Macaca mulatta: one gene and its partner. Each later gene encodes a partner of the first gene's protein in a complex. Links are inferred from orthologs where the notes say so. Each region holds a gene or a part of one and is shown on either strand. Other genes may lie near its edges.

Region 1 (3,646 bases):
GAGCAGTGGCTCACACCTGTAATTCCAGCACTTTGGGAGGCTGAGGCAGGTGGATCACGAGGTCAGGAGTTCAAGATAAGCCTGGCCAACATGGTAAAACCCTGTCTCTACTAAAAATACAAAAATTAGCTGGACATGGTGGCACATGCCTGTAATCCCAGCTACTCAGGAGGCTGAGGAAGGAGAATTGCTTGAACTGGGACACAGGAGGCAGAGGTTGCAGCGAACTGAGATAGCCCCACTGCACTCCAGCCTGGCCTACAGACTCAAAACAACAACAACAACAAAAAAAACTATCTTTATTTCTGGAGATGGAGTCTTGCTCCATGGCCAGGCTGGAGTGCAGTGGCGTGATCTCTGCTCACTGGGAGTAGCTGGGATTACAGGCACACACCACCACACTCGGCTAATTTTTGTATTTTTAGTAGAGACGGGGTTTCACCATGTTGGCCAGGATGGTCTTGGTCTCCCGACCCTGTGATCCTCCTGCCTCAGCCTCCCAAAGTGTTGGGATTACAGGTGTGAGCCACCGCACCTGGCCAAAAGCAAGGATATTTCATCCAAAGTAACAGCAAAGGAAACAACGAGGGATGGAAATACAGTACAACTTCTAGGAAAGGACAACACAGAAAGTTGAGTATTTATCTGACAGTTACTATTCTCACTATAAAGCAGAAGGTAAGGTCAAAGTCGTTAAGATCCCCAAGGAAGCCAATAGGAAAGGAAGACAGAAGCCGTGCAGGACCAAAATAACACATTTCCTGGCACTTGTTATGTCCAGGAATTCTGCTAAGTGCTCTAATCAATCAGGCTCATTTAATCGCCACAATGGTATGTGGTAGATGCCATGTGGTAGTTTTTGTTATCACTACCCCCTCAGCATTCACACAAGAAAAAGAGGCTTAAAGAAGGTGTTGAAGTCACAAAACTAGAAAATGGTGAAACTGGGATTAGAACTCAAGTCAATTACTTGAAAGTTTGAGCTACACTGTACTGCCATATGGTCTATTGCCTCTTTAATATCATTACCTTCTCTCATTCTTAGAGAAACTTAGAAAACTCCCTTTCCATAGTGTCAAAAAGAAAAACACAGTGAGAGATGAGGATACAGAATCACAAACTGATTCACTGCTCCCATTAAACTAAGATGGTTAAAAAAAGATTCTGAATGTCTTTAAAAGGAAATGCACTCTTTATTTTTTACATAGTCCCCCTACAGAGACTTCACACTTCACATTAAGTGCCTGGTCCCTGACAGCATTTATAAGATCTGCAATGCAACCTTTAATTTAGGAAGTCAATGAAGACAGGAGAAAAAGAAAATAAGTTCCAAATTACTATTTTCCTTTCAGTTGGTATTAAGTGCAAAGCTACCACAATTTCAGAAGTTTGAAAAAATTTGTTTCTAAGTGCAGATGGGTGAAATGGAAATATATCATAAACATCAAACATACCTTGATATCATTGTCTATTCCACCAGAAATAATCTGATCACTTGTGTCATTGAAGGTCACAGCTAACACCTGGTACGTGTTCTGAAATGTCTGGATGGCTGCTTTCTTCCGGATGTCCCAAAGCTGAAGCAAAGGACAACAGGGTCTATCATTAATATCATTCTAAGAAGTAACTGCACAGTACAAATATCCCTAAGTACAAGGACTTTGTGAACATGAACACATCTATAATTGGGATCCCATTTCACTAACTCCTGGATATCCTAATAACACACATGGTAAGCAGTGTCCTCAATTTTGCCAAGACATTTGAAGGCTGGTGAAACAAAACTTCAGTTATATTTTCAGACTTCTTTGTTAAAGTGAATAAACAGAGTTAAATCAAATACTCTTAGAATGGAATTCCACTAATTACTTGGTTCATATATTTTTTAGGACAACAAGGATATCAGACAATTTTTTCAAACTGTAGATACTAATTCATTAGTGGGCTGCAACCCACATTTAAAAAAATAGAGAGCGGGTACGTCAGTGAAAATAGTATAATAAACAATGACAAAAGCTTGTCCTTCCACAAAACAACAAATGAACCAGCAAAAACCTGTCAGAATCAACTATCGGAATTCTCATAACTAATCAAAAGTTTATAGTAACCAGGCAAACCCTTAATGAGGAAAAAGGAAACAAAAAACCCCTGAGTCCCAGTAAAAGGGTTTTGTAGTGTTTTAACTTGTGCTGGCTCTGTCTCCCGCTCAGCAACAGCTTTGAAGATAACCCATATTCCCAGTATGGTGTCCTAGTACTGAGGAAGCAAAGGGGGGCCTATTTCTTATTGTCAAAGAATAAACAATAAAAATTGTTTATTTTTACTTGCCTGGTGGCTCCCTGAAGGATAAGCTCAAAGGACTTACATTTATTTTTTTATTTATTTATTTTTTTGAGACGGAGTCTTTGCTCTGTCGCCCAGGCTGGAGTGCAGTGGCGCCAACTCGGCTCACTACAAGCTCCACCTCCTGGGTTTACGCCATTCTCCTGCCTCAGCCTCCCGAGTAGCTGGGACTACAGGCGCCCGCCACCTCGCCCGGCTGGTTTTTTGTACTTTTAGTAGAGACGGGGTTTCACCGTGTTAGCCAAGATGGTCTCGATCTCCTGACCTCGTGATCCGCCCGTCTCGGCCTCCCAAAGTGCTGGGATTACAGGCGTGAGCCACCGCGCCCGGCCAGGACTTATATTTATTTTGTCTAACTTGGAACTTTCCTTGAAAACATTTAAAGGAAAGGATATTATTAGCCTCTGGTGCCTGGGGGCAAGGAAAAACAGTTGGGGCAAAAATACAAACCAAAAACCTTGGGAGGAAGGGCTGGGGAAGGAGACAATTTGGGGAGTAAGAGTTTTGAAAAGCACCGACATATTCCTGGCTATCTATCTTTATCTATCTATCTATCTATCTATCTATCTATCTATCTATCTATCTATCTATCTATCTATCTATCTATCTACCTACCTACCTACCTACCTACCTACCTACCTACAGAGTCTCCCTCTGTCACCCAGGCCGGAGTGCAGTGGTGCGATCTCGGCTCACTGCAACCTCCACCTCACGGGCTCAAGCAATTCTCCTGTCTCAGCCTCCCGAGTAGGTGGGATTACAGGCGCGTGCCACTATACCCAGCTAATTTTTGTATTTTTAGTAGAGACAGGGTTTCGCCATGTTGACCAGGCTGGTCTCACACTCCTGGCCTCAAGTGATCTGTCTGCCTCGCCCTCCCAAAGTGCTAAGATTACAGGCATGAGCCACCATGCCTGGCCCATCCCTGGCAATCTAGACCACTTGCATGTCCAGGGCTGGGCACATACTTAGAAAAGATCTGAGAAGGCCATAAGCTCTCTGGTTGACCTTCAGGCTCTGCACAAGCAGGAAGTGAAAGCTAAGGAGAGATGTAAACTGCACAGCAAGGAGTTGAAGGCAGGCTCCAACATACCAAAAGACAATCTGCAAAGACTGGGAGAGCTTTTGTTCTTGTTGTTGTAGGTAATTTAGGAAACTTCTGTCATTCACTAGCTGACCACTAAGCTAACAAAAAAAGAATTCAGTGGTAACACAGGACAAAGAATACAAACTTTACAAAATTAGTTCAAAAATTCACTAAACAGGCCAGGTGTGACAGCTCACACCTGTAATCCCAGCATTT
Region 2 (4,406 bases), on another chromosome or scaffold:
CGGGAAGTTTGGACCACCCAAACATCAGCGTCGCCTCACTAGCGCCTGGAAGTAAGTTCATTAGCTGCCCCCTCAATGTGCATGCTTCTTACATTCTGTATCTCTCCAGGTGAGTGTTTTTCAAAGTTTCCAGGCAGTAATCTTGAAGTCATTTCCTATGAGTTTTTTGAATCTTGAAGTCAAATCCTATGAGGGTTTTTTTTTTTTTTTTTTTTTTTAAAGTAGAGACGGTTTCACCATGTTACCCTGGCTGGTCTCGAACTCCTGGGCTCAAGGGATCCACCGGCTTCGTCCTTCAAAAGTGTTGGGACTACGGGCGTGAGCCATCGCGCCCAGCCGGTCATTTTTTAAAAAGTTCTTTGCATCTCTGCCCCCAGCTCCCTTTCAGGCAGTGGTCCCGTCATGCTTTCCACACTGTTGCAGCAGTTTTAACTGTTGCAGAAATTTTAACAAGTTTCTCTGCTTCTAAACCTTACGTTAGATCCATTTTGTAAATAAATGCTGCTACCTTTTCATTGTGTCATTCTTTACCTATAATTTTGCAGTGGTTCCCCACTATCTTCAGCATAAAATCTAGGCTCCTAAGGCTGAAAGCCAGGGATCCTCACCAAAGGAGCCTGTCTTTTCAACCTCATGTTCTCCTGTCTTAGGTGCACTTAGGTTCCAACTTTGAGTCGTCGCTCATGTCAATAAAAAGTTCACTACTTGATGCTTTTAATTAGGTCAAGTCAGGTGCTTTCCCTTATTTTCCTCCATGACGGGCATTTCCTGCATATAGCACGTTGTCACTTTGATATTTTCTCAATATCCTTGATGGTAAAGTAAGGGAAGGGTTAAAGAGCTGCATTAAAAGTACAGTCTCCTCTCCTAGATATGCATGGTCCTTAGGTCTGTATCTGCTCCTTCCGTAGGGTAGCCACCAGCTACATGTAGCTGTTGAGCACTTGGAATATGGCCACTGGGATTGAGGGACTGGGTTTTTTATTTTAATTCTATTGTGTTTTAGTTAAGTTTAATTTAAATAGCTACATGTGGACATGAGCTACTGTATTGGACAGCTCAGGCCTGTGTTATGATTGTCAAAATGTAATAATCTACAATTAAGGGTTGACAAATAACAGTGCAACAGATTAACATTCCAATCCCCCTCCCCTACACACACAGTATTCGCTAATGGTCCTTTAGCTGAAGATTAAGGGACATAGGGTAGCAGGGACACATGGTCGATGGGAGATGCTCTCTTTTCATTCCTGTTTTTACTTCTGTCCACCCCACCATTCCTCCTCACCCGACATCTTGCACATATTTGCCAGATAGTTTCCTCCAAGCCAGGAGCTGAGCTTTCTTTTTTCTTTTTCTTTGATAGAAAATGCAGCTTTGGCGTTTTTGCTAAGTTTTATGGAGTGCCAGGCCTTGAAGGAGGCATGACGTGTGCCGCATGCCTTCTCAGACTCTGAAAGATGAACTGACTGTTGTCTCTTTCACTGTAGAGCTCTCTTCCTGCCAAGATGTCTATTGGTGTGCCAATTAAAGTGCTGCACGAGGCCGAGGGCCACATTGTGACATGTGAGACGAACACCGGTGAGGTATATCGGGGGAAGCTCATTGAAGCAGAGGACAACATGAACTGCCAGGTATTCTGCTTTGCATGTGAGGCTGTGTGGGAGGAATGGCCCTGTGTCTTGAAGGACAGAAAGGTGTGGGTTGGGGGTCTTCTGTAAATTGTTCTCATTCAGCAGTGATTTCCTGAGTGCCTAACACATACCAGTCAGGTGCTGTTATAGGCTCTGGGGATGTGGGCATGAACAAAACACATAGTCTTGAGGCAGAAAAGCCATTTGGAGATTTGGAATATTTTACTTCGCCTTTTTTGTTTTTTCCATCCCCAAATTTGGGGACCTGTTTGGGAGAAGTTCCTTCAGTAGAATCCTTCAGGTTCAGAGCCATTATCCATTTGCCTCCACTTGCTTTGCAGTTAGGAGAATCTTCTCACATACTGTGTTTGTTTCCCTTTTCTCTTGGAGGAGGAGTCTCATTTGATTATTGCAACTACCTTGTGAGGTAAGCAGGTTTGGTGGTAGTCTTGTCATCCATAAAATAGGGAGAATGAGATTAAAGGACTCATCACTCTGATAGTAAATAATGGAGTAGTTTCTTGATACGGTGTCCTTCTCATGGCGCAGCTTTGCCTTTTGCATAGTCATCTGAATTTTTATAGCATTGTTTTTCAGTTGTATCTTCACACTTTCTTTGTTCTTTAAACCATTGGTTAAGAACTTGGACTTGGGAGTCAGAGAGAGATGTGGGTTTGATTCCTAATTATATGACCTTAGATGTATTAATCACTCAGTTTTCTCATCTGTAAAACGGGAGTGTTATTATTTTGGGTTCTTTGATGTAGATGCCAAGACAGAATTATGCAAGGTATTTATTGGGGGAAATGACAATAAAGGATAAAGGAACAAGGAAACAGTAGTAGGCAGGGAAATTTTCAGTCCGTGATGCTGGTCTGACTGGTGAAACGAGAGGGGAAAGAAGGAGGATTGAGCAGGAAGAACCTTAGACTACAGTGTAGTTTTGAGGAAGTCTCAGCAAGGCAGTGATTGCTCATTAGAAGAATCTAACATGGGGCAGAAATGGGCAGACTGGCACCCCTGGTGTGTTCATTCCATTGGCTGGCAGCCTGGGGAGACAGTCTCTCTCCCCAAGTTGAATGCCATGGTGGACTGCAAAGATGGAGATTGTCGGCTGCCTTCACTCCTCATAGCCTGTTTTCTTTTGGAGGGAGATCTGAGCAGCACACCCTTAAGACTGCCACAGGGATAATATCCACACCCCCAGGACTTTTACAAAGATCAGATGAGCTATATGTGTGCAATAGCTGCTCGGTGCCTCACATACTGTAAGTGTTCAACGTATGGTGTTTACTGCTTTTTTCCAGATGAGAAGGTCAGAGAGGTAAAGCGTCTTACACCACGGTCAGGTATCCTGACCATCTATTGGTTTGCGCCATTCATTTATTTGTGATTTTTCTGTAGCTTTGAGCGTCTATCATCTTCCTGCGAGGTTGACAAGCTTGGTCAGTTCCCTGGATGCAGAGAAGTAGACCTCTGGTGACTCAGGTTTATTGCATCATTGTCAATAGATCAGTTTATCTATTGACAGTAGATAGGTTTATCATCTCTCTTTCATATATCCAGACCTCTGGCTTAAGGCATGCTCATCCACTTTAAGGTACTTTAATTTGGTGAGGAGAATGCAGGACTTGGGTTAGTGAATCTTAATGGGTTTGTCATCTAGCTATATGTATTTGGACAACCTGCTGGGTTTCCAGGGCCTTTGTCATCCCATCCATAACATGAAGGTGTCTAACCAGATAACCTCGGTGGCCATTCAGAGATGCAGTCCACGTGACACAAAGTGCACAGAACTTGGAGTCAGACAGACCTGGAATCAGCTTGCAGCCTGCCACCTAGGGTGACTTGGGGTGAGCTTTGGACCTCCTTCGTCCTCTGGTCCCTCTTCTAAGTCAGGGATAAAAATAGCTCCTTGGCTTCAGAAGGAACCATAGTGCAGAAGAAATGAGTAGATGCATGTCACATGCCTGACCAATGGTGGGGGGGCAGCCACCTGCCTCCCTGCTTGTATTTGTATGCTAGTGCTGCCAATAACAAAGTTTCACAGATTGGGCAGCTTAGACAACACAAATTTGTTTTCTCCTAGATCTGAAGGCTGGAAGTCTGAGATCAAGGTGTTGGCAAGGCTGATTTCTTCTGAGGGATGTGAAGGAAGGATCTGTTCCAGGCCTCTCTCCTTACTTATAGATGACTCTCTTCTCCCTGTGTCTTCACTTGGTCTTCACTCTGTAGTGTTTCTGTCTAGATCTCTTCTTATAAGGATACCAGGCATGTAGAAATAGGGCCCACTCTAATGACTTTTCTTAACATAAAGTTTTTTTTTTAATAAAGTTTTTTTTTTTTTTTTTTGAGATGGAGCCTTGCTCTGTCGCCCAGGCTGGAGTGCAGTGGCGCGATCTTGGCTCACTGCAACCTCCGCCTTCCAGGTTCAAGCGATTCTCCTGCCTCAGCCTCCCAAGTAGCTGAGACTACAGGCACCTGCCACCATGTCAGCTAATTTTTGTATTTTTAGTAGAGACGGGTTTCACCATATTGGCCAGGCTGGTCTCGAACTCCTGACCTTGTGGTCCACTTGTCTCAGCCTCCCAAAGTGCTGGGACTACAGATGTGAGCCACCATGCCCGGCTTGCCTTTTTTTTTTTTTTTTTTTTTTTTGTGAGACAGAGTCTCACTCTGTTGTCCAGGCTGGAGTGCAGTGGCACAATCTCAACTCACTGCAACCTCTGCCTCCCGGGTTCAAGCAGTTCTCATGCCTCAGCCTCCCAAGTA

The links. Proteins that work in one complex are often made in the same cells at the same time.
Region 2: SNRNP40 (region 1) and SNRPD3 share a complex: the UniProt entries of both Homo sapiens proteins name them as parts of the U4/U6-U5 tri-snRNP complex. The link is inferred for Macaca mulatta from reciprocal best matches to the Homo sapiens genes SNRNP40 and SNRPD3.

The regions. Positions count from the first base shown.
Region 1 is NC_133406.1:209,580,229-209,583,874, reverse strand, and holds part of SNRNP40 (U5 small nuclear ribonucleoprotein 40 kDa protein), read right to left. Parts: intron 1,578-3,646; coding exon 1,455-1,577; intron 1-1,454. UniProt on the Homo sapiens protein: Required for pre-mRNA splicing as component of the activated spliceosome. Component of the U5 small nuclear ribonucleoprotein (snRNP) complex and the U4/U6-U5 tri-snRNP complex, building blocks of the spliceosome.
Region 2 is NC_133415.1:28,770,439-28,774,844, reverse strand, and holds the start of SNRPD3 (small nuclear ribonucleoprotein Sm D3), read left to right. Parts: upstream 1-1,490; 5' UTR 1,491-1,508; coding exon 1,509-1,634; intron 1,635-4,406. Other genes in the region: protein GUCD1, read right to left, coding at 1-61. UniProt on the Homo sapiens protein: Plays a role in pre-mRNA splicing as a core component of the spliceosomal U1, U2, U4 and U5 small nuclear ribonucleoproteins (snRNPs), the building blocks of the spliceosome.